Caenorhabditis elegans: one gene and its partners. The protein of the gene in region 2 purifies or fractionates together with the protein of the main gene of each other region. This does not show direct contact. Each region holds a gene or a part of one and is shown on either strand. Other genes may lie near its edges. The genes, in order: enol-1, ahcy-1 and pfn-1.

Region 1 (3,752 bases), on a different chromosome or scaffold from region 2:
GCAAGCTCGGCGATGTACTTGTAGAGTGGGAGTCCCTTGTGTACGGCTCCAGCCTTGGCGACAGCAAGTGAAACTCCGAGAATGGCGTTAGCTCCGAGGTTTCCCTTGTTTTCCGATCCATCCAAAGCCATCATGAAGTCGTCAATGTCCTTCTGTGCAGTGACATCGAATCCCTTGGCGATCAGAGCTGGAGCGATCTTCTCGTTGATGTTCGAGACGGCCTTGAGAACCCCCTTTCCGAGGTGAACAGCCTTGTCACCGTCACGAAGCTCGAGGGCCTCATGAACTCCAGTAGAAGCTCCAGATGGAACTGCGGCACGGAAGACTCCTGGAAACAAGAAATGATGTGATTTCGGAATTGCGTCATAATGTTGAAATATACTTCATGAAATTTCAGATTTGAATAAAACAAGATTAATCTTATTTTATTCAAATCTAGATTGGTTTTTCAAGTTTTGATAGAATTTATACAATGCTCGCTTACCTTTCTCAGTGAAAAGATCAACCTCAACAGTTGGGTTTCCGCGGGAGTCGTAGATTTGGCGAGCGTGGATCTTGGTGATTGGCATCCTGCAAAATGAACTATATGTTTTCAATAATCAAACAAGTATATAAAACTACGTGAGAAACGGGCACTAGTAAACAAAACAACTGAAAAGATAAAATGTTTGAGGCGAGAAGGGGTAAAGGAGTGCGAGAAGAAAAAGGCGGCGCCGTCAATAGACGGCGCAGAAAGTGGAAAGAGTGACGAAGGTCGCACGGAGGACACGAGACTCAGAGAAAATGCAGCTGGTTAGATGTGTTTGTGAGCGGCCCGAGAGCGCACGTTCAATAGAATCGCACGGACAGCCTCTTTTTCGTGGCAGTGAATAAAATTCGTTTGTAGATCTCAAAGAGACGCAGTTAAGATTCGAACTGAAGTTACAAAAAAAAGGCATTGCAGATTCACTAAGTTCTTGAACACTTCTAGATATTGAGAATTATGATTAAATTCGTCATGCCGAGAAGAAAAGAGGAGCCAATGCCTTGGGCTCGAAAACAAGTGAGGGGCCAAGGACGCCAGCAACTGCCGCTGGGGAGAAGCGACGACTTGAGCGGCTGCCTTTCGCCTAAATACGTGACTTACACGAAGTTTCAGATTGGCAAAGCATGCACTTCAGATTGGATTTGAGAAGCGAGTTACCAAATGTTTTTTATGTTCAGTGGTCAGTTTTAGAAGTGAGAAGAAGTGATAAGGTCTGATATGAGAAGAAATTGTTGATTCGGAAAATTTGCAAAACATTTCGGAAAAAACTTATTTTTGAAGAGAAACACAACTATTTTCTTTCTAACTAAAACACCTCAAAGCTTGCGTGTTGAATTTAAAGAAAAACGTTAGTTTGCACACACTATTGTTCAAAACCATTGAACAAGTCAAAATGAAACATAAAAGAAAAGTAAACATCAGTCAACGTTTTGGAAAAAAGGCACGGCAGACCCCATTACCCTGATTCAGCAGCCAAAATTTTGCAGATTGCGTGTGGAAGTCGCGGGAGCATGAAATCAACTGGCGGAAAATAAAGAAAAAGAGATAACCAAAACCTTTGTCCAGACAGATTGCTTTTCGAAGGCTGCCCGCCACCTCGAATGAGCGAAGTGAGCGAGTGAGCTGCCGAGGTGAATGGAACAAACATTTTAAATCAAAAACTGAAATAACTTGCGTAGAGCAAAACTTTAGAGGAAGATCAAAACGTGAAGAGGTCAAAAATATTTTTTTCAACGTCAATTTTATTTACAACAATAAAAATCGATAGATCAAACAAAAAGAAAATAGGTCTAAAAATACTAAATATGAAACTCTAATACAAAAATGAACCAAATTATTTTTTATTGTCGAATCCTAGTGAATTGCTTTGTTTTTAGGTTGTATCGTTTATCAGTGTATTTGTCCATTTGATTAGCAACTTCTGGATCCCATGGCATATTCTTGTCAGGACGAGTGTAATCAAATGTCTGAAAAATGCCGATTTTAAGTCAGCACTGAAACTTTAAAAATTACCTGATCATCATAATCGAACCATTCTTTTTTCGGTTGGAACTGTCGAAGTAGACGTTTCTGTCTCAGAGAGAGAACTTCACCACCTGATCCTGGGAATGCAGTGATTCCACCATGATACATGTGAGTGTCTTCAGGATGGAAACGTGCAGCATGCTCCATAATCGAGACGTTTTTCGGTTTGTTCTCATCGCGAGCCATTCTATAATTTATTTTAATTAATAATTCAATAAGCATCTTTAAACAAAAACTAACTCTGTATATTTTGTTACATTTTTGACAGGCGTCTGATAAAATTCGACGACGTCTGCCACTGTTTCCAAATGAAGAAGTTTTCCATTGGTTGGCCAATGTTCGATGGATTTTCCCAGCCTGTTCAACAACTCGAACTTTACAGAGTTATCTCCTTCCACAAATTTGTACTGATCCACGTTTTCAGACTTTACTCCAGCACTTCTTAGACATGATGACGCTGCTTCAAGTACTTGGTTTTTGACATCAACGCCGGGAACATAGTTTTGCGTGTATTTGAGAAAACCTCTGGCCCGGATGGCATCCGTGTCGATACGGCTCATCGTCAACAGATCATCGTCAAATTCAGTGACAGAATCAGCTGAAGCAGTAACTTGTGTGGATTCTCTAGCACGGATGCTGGGAAGCGTCTTGCGAAGGCTCTCCTGTTCTTCCAGTGTCAGCTGCTTTACTGCTTCCTTTTCCCCGGATTTTCCAAACATTCCTTTCAACAAGTTACCTTGCGATCGGACAAGCCTCGGAAAACTCCTGTGCATCTTTTGGCAGTTCTAAATTTTTTCTTTTAAGCTTTTTCTTTTCTCTTTAATCAGAAATATAAAAAATCAGATAAAAACTGGAATAAAATACATTTCAAATATTGTACCTTTTGTAAATCGCACTCCATTCATTTTAAAAGGAAAACAAATCAACAAGCAAAAACACGCGGTATTCTCGAATATTAAATTGAAAACGGGGGCATATAAAAACGGTAGGCAGAAGCAACAGAAAGTGTATCAAATTCCATCAAAAATAAGAATGAAGGGGACGAAAAAAAACGAGATACGATTGTGTTGAAGCACTCGATTAAAAGCTGAAAAAGGGAGAATAAAGTTGAAGATCTTTTAACAGTCTGGCGAACAATTTGATTAGCATGGTCGGTTATCTTGAGCACGGGCACGTGGAGCTGCCTTGATGATATCGTCGACGCGAAGAATTTGTTCCGTGGCTTCAGCGGCGGAAGAAACCATGCACAACTTCACATTGTAAGACTCAATAACGCCCAATTTCGTAACATCAGCAACCTCTCCTTTCTCGATGTCTGAAAGATAATTTTGTATAATGGTTAGATTTCCAAATGAACAAACCGATTCCCATATTGTGACGTCCATTGGCGTGCTCTGCACGGAGTCTTGTGACAAGTTCAGCCGAGTCAAGTCCAGCATTGTCGCAAATGATGGTTGGCAATTGAGCAAGGGCTCTTCCGAAGGCTTCAACGGCAAGGGCTTCCTTACCCGCAACCTTTTGAGCTTCGACGGCGATGGCTGAACTCATCAAAATTTCGCTCGCTCCAGCTCCGGCAACAGTCTTTGATTCTTTCACGTGAGTAACGAGAACACAAAGGGCATCATGGAGGGATCTTTCGGACTCATCAAGAATCTGCTGAGTTGCTCCACGAAGAACGACTGAGCAAGCTTCACCCAATTTG
Region 2 (3,752 bases):
GTAGCTGATCAGCTGTCTGGAATTCCAGATGAGGTATACGGTCGAAGTGGGTCTAGAAAAATTCGCCTTGCCAAAATTTCCGATACTAAATTACAAAAATCATTTTCCGGGAAATAGATATCTCAGAGAAACTGCACCGGATTCTCAGCATTCGAGGATTTTGGAAAAACCAAAAGAAATTTTATTTGGAAAATTAAATGAAGTCTATTCTAGGAGATTAAAACATTAAAAAGTTTATAGAATTCTATTAGACATTAAAACCACCTGAACTTTGCAAAATTGATAAGCGAAACCTAATTGTCTACGAAATTGGCGGCGGAGGGCATTTCGAAAAAAGAACTACGATAAGAAGTGACCTTGGATGATAGAAAGTAAGAGATACATAGATCTCTAATAGATTCTTCTAGAATTTAACGAGATTTGCAAAGAAAATTTTAGTTTTAATTGTAATGAGCAAAATTATATTTCAGAACACAGTTATATTTCAGAACATATCACTTAGAAATTTTGAAACTGTCCCGGTCGACGTCTTGCATGAAAAATTACATTATCCAAATTGAGGCGCCACATTGTAAAAAATGTGTCAAAAATAGAAAATTAATTTTTGAATTTCCCTCGCTTTCCTCTTTCTCTGCTTTCTCTCAAGCTCTTATCATTCCTGCACATCTAACATAGAAAAGTACACAGAAGCGGAGAATGAGAGACGCAGCACATCCACGACGAAAAGTGGGCGGAGACTGATGTGGCACAGGCATTTGGGTGCTATAAAAGGCCGCCGTTGGGCCAGAAATAACGCCGTAGGAATACGGGCTAGCAAAAAAAAAAGAAAGTGATTTTTCCCTTTCAGACTGAAAAGGTACTGAATCATTCTAGAACAAGAGGAAAGTGGGGGAAATCTATCATCGACGAATCCTAAAATTTAATCTGAAACGTGATATCCTTTTCTAGGTCGTACAGAATCTTCAAAGAAATCTGCGGTGGTGTGGAATTCAGGAAGGTCACTTTACCAAAGCTATCGGCCAAAGTAATCTTACATTTTACAAGGCTATCAAGATTTTATCGCCAATTCTCCATAAATAACGCTGTCTTGACGGTTGACGAGCATCGCAGGATGCATATCTCACCTCATGTGTCAATACGTTTTTTTCTTAAATTTTCTTTAGTAATTTTCAAATAAAAATCATCGTTTCGCGGCGAGTAAGTCCAAATTTTAGGCCTTCGTGGCGGGACCCACTGAGAAAAATCACTGCGCCTTTGATCGAAACAGTAGAAATTTCGAAAAAGCTTTCTTTTTGGGAAAAGTTTTTGCAAAGTTCCTCGCTTTGTTTTATGTTTAAAAGACCGACTAGTTGTAAATTTCTTCGTCATGGTTCCAGATTTAATAGATTTTCCCACATATTAAACTCTAAAACCTAAAAAAGTTCTCGTCCACTAACTATCTTCCGTATTTTCGGGTTTACTTATTTACACATGGATTATTGTTTTTTTCCATTTAAAAATTGATGTTTTGGCAATCCACGTAAGCCAAGGTTGTTTTTGTTTATTTTCGATTCTCTGATAAACAAAAACAACTTATAAATTGGAAAATAACCTTCTCACAATCAGTTTTTTTTTCTTCACAAACTCTTGTTTTATCCTTTTCACAGCCGAACTTTCAAAAAAGTGTCTCATTTTTTTTCTTTATTTCCGTCTTATGGACTTCTTCGCTTCTCTTCCCTATCCGTCCTGCAGATTAAAATAAATTTCTAATTATTTCAGGTAAAACACATTCGCAATGGCCCAGTCTAAGCCAGCTTACAAGGTCGCTGATATCAAGCTCGCCGATTTCGGACGCAAGGAGATCATCCTTGCTGAGAATGAGATGCCAGGACTTATGGCTATGCGCTCCAAGTACGGACCATCCCAGCCATTGAAGGGAGCTAGAATCGCCGGATGTCTCCACATGACCATCCAAACCGCTGTTCTCATTGAGACTCTTACTGCTCTCGGAGCTGAGGTAAATCTTGTTTTTTGAAAGAATTAGTATTAAAATAAGTTGGTTTGAAAAATCGAAACTTTTTCCAGGTCCAATGGTCTTCCTGCAACATCTTCTCCACCCAAGATCACGCTGCTGCCGCCATTGCCCAGACCGGAGTCCCAGTCTACGCCTGGAAGGGAGAGACCGACGAGGAATACGAATGGTGCATTGAGCAAACTATCGTCTTCAAGGATGGACAACCACTCAACATGATCCTTGATGATGGAGGTGATCTTACCAACTTGGTTCACGCCAAGTACCCACAATACCTCGCTGGAATCCGCGGACTTTCCGAGGAGACCACCACTGGAGTCCACAACTTGGCTAAGATGCTCGCCAAGGGAGACCTTAAGGTTCCAGCTATCAACGTCAACGACTCTGTCACCAAGTCCAAGTTCGACAACTTGTACGGAATCCGCGAGTCTCTCCCAGACGGAATCAAGCGCGCCACTGATGTTATGCTCGCCGGAAAGGTAGCCGTTGTCGCTGGATACGGAGATGTCGGAAAGGGATCTGCTGCTTCCCTCAAGGCTTTCGGTTCCCGTGTCATTGTCACCGAGATCGATCCAATCAATGCTCTTCAAGCCGCTATGGAAGGATACGAAGTGACCACCCTCGAGGAGGCTGCACCAAAGGCTAACATCATTGTCACCACCACTGGATGCAAGGACATCGTTACCGGAAAGCACTTCGAGCTTCTTCCAAATGACGCTATCGTCTGCAACGTTGGTCACTTCGATTGCGAGATTGACGTCAAATGGCTCAACACCAATGCCACCAAGAAGGACACCATCAAGCCACAGGTAAGAAAATGTTCAGAATTAGGATGAATTCACAATCATCGATAGAAGTTTGAACCAACTTTTTTCAGGTTGACCGTTACACCCTCAAGAACGGACGTCACGTCATCCTCCTTGCCGAAGGACGTCTTGTCAACCTTGGATGTGCCACCGGACATCCATCTTTCGTCATGTCCAACTCCTTCACCAACCAAGTTCTCGCTCAAGTTGAGCTCTGGACCAAGTTCGGAACTCCACAAGAATACAAGCTCGGACTCTACGTTCTTCCAAAAACCCTTGACGAGGAGGTCGCTTATCTTCACTTGGCTCAATTGGGAGTTAAGCTTACTAAGCTTTCCGACGAGCAAGCTTCATACCTTGGAGTTCCAGTTGCCGGACCATACAAGCCAGACCACTACAGATATTAATTTTGTTGGTTCTACCCCATACGGATATTTTTTTAACTGTTTTAAATTGTATTGCCCTCAAACTTCATATGATCTTGAACTGGTTGTATTGTTCCCCATCTACCCGCTTTTCCCCCAAATACATAATCGCCTGATTTAGTCGTTTTTCTTCAACTCGTTGATTTGGTTCTGTTGTTTGTCTTTTGGACATAAATGTTTTATGGAGTAACTTTGACGATTGTTTGAGAAATTATTCTGAAAACGTTTGATTAGGCGTGAGTTTATCGAATTTTCAGATCTACGCCCGGGAAATTTCAAGCAGGGAAAAACAAATTTTAAATTTGTCGGGGTGAAGGGCGCTCTATTGATAAATAAGTTCTTTATTTCTCTCAACGCTTCACTCATTTCGTGTTTCACTTTTTATATTTACAGAAATTCCCATGATGTTCAATTTTTATCAGTTTCTCTATAACCTGCAAAATGTTTCCCCATTTATTGATTTTTCAGTACTAAAACAACTTACCCACACGAAAATGAGGGAAAATGAGC
Region 3 (3,752 bases), 6.1 Mb from region 2:
GACGTTTTTACCGATTTTCCGCAGGTTTTTCACAAAATTCTCGCGTTTTCTCCCAAAATTGATATTTCCAGCAGTTTTTTCCGCGTTTTGTCTCGGTTATTGCCAGAATATATTTTCCTCATTCTCTAGCAAATATTCGCTAATTTTCCTGATTTCCACCCTATTTTCTTCCGGAAAGTTCAGTTCGTTCCATTCTTGCTTTAAAACTGTAAGGAAGGAGCGGAAATAGGTGATTCAGAAAGAGTTTTTTATCAATTTTCGGCATCCGATAACGTCGTGAATCGAGAAAAATAAAAAAGCTATAAAAATTATCACATAGCGTAAGATTTCGACTAGAAAACTCTCAATTTTCCTATTTTTTTTGATGAAATTTCAGCTCACAGTGAGTGTTTTGTAGAAAAATGTAAAATTTTCCCCATTTTCCCCATTTTCCGCTTTCTGGAGTTTATTCGTTCGATTTACTGACAAAATCTTCGGGTTTTCTGCAATATTTATAGAAAAATCCGGCCAATGCTACGAAATTTCTGTTTTTCGCGGCTCTTTTGACTATTTCGTGACTTTTTTGGGGCTTCGATCATCAAAATTTCGAATATTTTTATGATTTTTGAGCATTTTGATGTATTTTTTTTCTTCTAAATGACTTTCAGATCTCCTTGGCAGAAAAAACTGCGAATATTATAACAACTTGAAGCTTCCTCGACGATTTTTGGCGACCTGCTGTTCCATGTGACTCACCATTCCAATTTCGCAATCCACTGGTCATTCTCGGCATTAAGATCCATTTTCAGCGCTCAATTTCGCAATTTTCAAAGCTAGAAAGCTTTGTTCAAATTGAATTGTTTCGCAACTCGTCTTCTATCGCCTTTTGGTTCTCTTTCTCCTCCGTCGTCTTCGCTGTGTTCTCTTCAAAATGATTCATCATTGGCTTTGGTTGTGTCTCTGGGTCTGTGTGTTCAATATAAATTGCAACTGCATTTGACATTAGTATGGATTGAGGCGGGTTATTTCACCCTCTTTTAGTAGTACACACACATTCAATTTGATGGGCGGTCTCTGTCTCTCTTTTCGTCCTTTATGGGTGAATAACTGACCAGCGGAGCAAGCAGGCAGGAGCAGGAGCACAAGCTCGTTGTTCGGGTTGAAAAGGGGAAGAAGGAGAGCACCAGATGGCATGCAAACATTCTCTTTCTCTTCTTCTCTCTATTGCTTTTCCTCACTGTCATTCACTGCTTCTCCATTTGCCCAGCCAATTAGATGGAGTGTTCCGGGTGGTCAAAGATGTCCTCTAGTTTTCGTAGCAATTTTCATCTTTCGGAATTTGAAATTGGAAGTTTTCTTTAATTTCTCTCAATTTTGGGTCATCTGGCGATTTTATGCCATTTTTCTTGTGAAATTAAATTCTCAGATTGCTCTAGATAGTTCAAATCCTCTAGTAGTTGAAAATTCGCCTCAAAACGTTGCTTTTTTAAAAAGAATTCTCCCTTAAGTTGGTCCTAATTTCTCGAGGCGAGATCTTCCAAAAGCTGAATTTTTCCAAGTTTTCTACATCTGAAACTCGAAATATTTACTATTTTCGTAGTTTTTGGTAGTTTTCGGTGTTTTCGAGCTTCAATTCCGCCTTTTTGGCCTGAAAATGGTCTGAAAATCATCGAAAATTGGTCAACTCTAGGTAAAATGCCAATTTTGGTTTAAATCGGCTCAATTCACAGAAAATTTCCAAGAAATTCATGAAAGAAGCTCAATTTTTGCACTACATTGGCGAGAAAATTGTGAATTTAGTGAGATTTTGTTGGTTTTTGTCATTTTATCCATTCGCAAGTTCTTCGCCACCAACTTACACCACAGATAAGCAAAAAATCTGCGGAAATATCAATTTTTGGGTATTTCGGCATTAAAATTCCATTTTTTGCGCAGTAAATCAAAAAATAATCGATTGTTTACAAAAACCGTAATTTTCAAGCGATTTTATGCTCTTTTTCTCCTAATTTGTGCTCTTTCTTCATATTATCATTTCTCATTACCCCTCCAACCATCTCAATCATAATTTATGTTTATTTTTTCAGTATAATCTCCGCTTCAACCTCCTCCAAAACACAAAAATGTCCGGATGGAATGCCTACATCGACACAATGACTGCCGCTGCTCCATCAATCAAACGGTGTGCAATCGTCGGAGCCGCTGATGGATCTGTCTGGGCTCGTACTGAGGCTGACAATGTGTTCAAGGTATGGAAATGGACGAAAATCATCGAAGAAGCTCGAGAAAAAATCGATTAAAACTGGAAACGATTGAAAAATCCTTAAATTGACCCATTTTTGAGATTGAAAAGAGCTAGCGGGGTCGATTTTTGTTGGAATTTTCGCATTTTGACCCAAAAAACTGAAAATCTCGCGAAATTATTCACTTTTTGAATTGAAAATCGAAATTTTTAGCCGCTGAATTTACATTTTACAGGAATAATTAGCAAATCCACTCAAAAATTGCAAAATTTTCATTATTTTTCGAACAAAATTAAAAAATTCCAGATTAGGCAGGCTTCAGGCGGCCGTGCCTGCCTACCAGCCCCTGTTTCTCATATAGTTTATACTTCTTCGAAACCCAAGTAGGCAGCAGACAGGCTTAGGCTACCTTGAAGGTCAGGCAAGTTACCTGCCTGACTACCTTCGAGGTGGCCTGCCTGATACCTACATTAGAGCCTACTTGTATTTCAGCCGCCTGAAGCCTGCCTACTCTGGAATTTTCTAAACTTTTTTTTTTCAGATTTTTCAATTTCATGAAAATTTAGAGTTAAAAAGCGTTAAAAAAAAAATTAAAATTCGAAGATTTTTTCCTGCAAAATGTAAATTCACAGACTGAAATTTGTGATTTTCCAGTATCTCGGCCAAGAATAAGCCGATTTTTTTGGAAATTTCAGTGTTTTGAGGCCTAAAAATGCGAAAATTGGGGAAAAAGGCTAACTTTAGGGTTACTGGATTTAAAATTTCGAATTTTTGGAAATTTCAAAGCGCAAATTTTTTAACAAGAAATATTTCCTGTCCAAAAACTTCTCTAATTTTTTCCAATTTCCAGGCATCCGAAGAAGAGCTCAAAACCTTCGTTGCCCTATTCAATGACGTCACTCAAGTTCCAGCAAAAGGAGCCGATATCGAAGGAGTTCATTACGTCGTTCCACGTACCGAAGAATCGCTCATCTTCGGAAAAAAGGAGAACACTGGATTCTTCGCTGTGAAGACCAAGTCTGCAGTCTTGATTGCTGTCTACGAGGGACCAAATGAAGTTGCTGCACAAGTTCGCAAGGCTGTCGAGAGTATGCAAACCTATCTCAACAATGCTGGATACTAAATACTTCTCTCTCTATCGATTGTTGTTCGATTCGTATTTATTCCCGCTTTTCTCTATTTTTTTTTTGCAAACTTCCCCCTTCTCCCTTCTCCCAAACCTTGATTTCTACGAGTACAACGATGAAATTCGGTTTTCTTCCGCGTAATCTTTCCCTCAAAACTCCCATTCCCAGAGCAAACACAGAAACAGTTTTTATTTCACTTTCAGCTTTATCATAATGTATTGTATTCCCCCGTTTTGTTTTCTAGTAAATTCATTGCCAATTCAATGCCTTCTCGATTATTTCATTTTCATCTCCCATCGACGGAGAAAGAGAGTGAGAGAAGAGTTTTGTGCTCGGAGCAATTATCGCGTGTTTTTTTCGAAACCACGCCCACACTGCAATTGTGCGGCGCGGTTTTTTGGTCAGA

The links.
Region 1: the proteins of ahcy-1 (region 2) and enol-1 fractionate together in Caenorhabditis elegans (co-fractionation; one large-scale study listed by BioGRID). This does not show direct contact.
Region 3: the proteins of ahcy-1 (region 2) and pfn-1 fractionate together in Caenorhabditis elegans (co-fractionation; one large-scale study listed by BioGRID). This does not show direct contact.

The regions. Positions count from the first base shown.
Region 1 is NC_003280.10:8,928,924-8,932,675, reverse strand, and holds the start of enol-1 (Enolase), read right to left. Parts: upstream 1,674-3,752; coding exon 1,582-1,673; intron 571-1,581; coding exon 485-570; intron 329-484; coding exon 1-328. Other genes in the region: mrpl-50 (Large ribosomal subunit protein mL50), read right to left, coding at 1,867-1,992, 2,039-2,237, 2,291-2,823; cct-2 (T-complex protein 1 subunit beta), read right to left, coding at 3,193-3,365, 3,412-3,752.
Region 2 is NC_003279.8:6,834,711-6,838,462, forward strand, and holds ahcy-1 (Adenosylhomocysteinase), read left to right. Parts: upstream 1-1,758; 5' UTR 1,759-1,774; coding exon 1,775-1,996; intron 1,997-2,064; coding exon 2,065-2,820; intron 2,821-2,888; coding exon 2,889-3,224; 3' UTR 3,225-3,430; downstream 3,431-3,752. Other genes in the region: dpf-3 (Dipeptidyl Peptidase Four (IV) family), read left to right, coding at 3,644-3,752. UniProt on the Caenorhabditis elegans protein: Adenosylhomocysteine is a competitive inhibitor of S-adenosyl-L-methionine-dependent methyl transferase reactions; therefore adenosylhomocysteinase may play a key role in the control of methylations via regulation of the intracellular concentration of adenosylhomocysteine.
Region 3 is NC_003279.8:12,919,941-12,923,692, forward strand, and holds pfn-1 (Profilin-1), read left to right. Parts: upstream 1-2,063; 5' UTR 2,064-2,099; coding exon 2,100-2,225; intron 2,226-3,069; coding exon 3,070-3,342; 3' UTR 3,343-3,608; downstream 3,609-3,752. UniProt on the Caenorhabditis elegans protein: Binds to actin and affects the structure of the cytoskeleton. At high concentrations, profilin prevents the polymerization of actin, whereas it enhances it at low concentrations. By binding to PIP2, it inhibits the formation of IP3 and DG.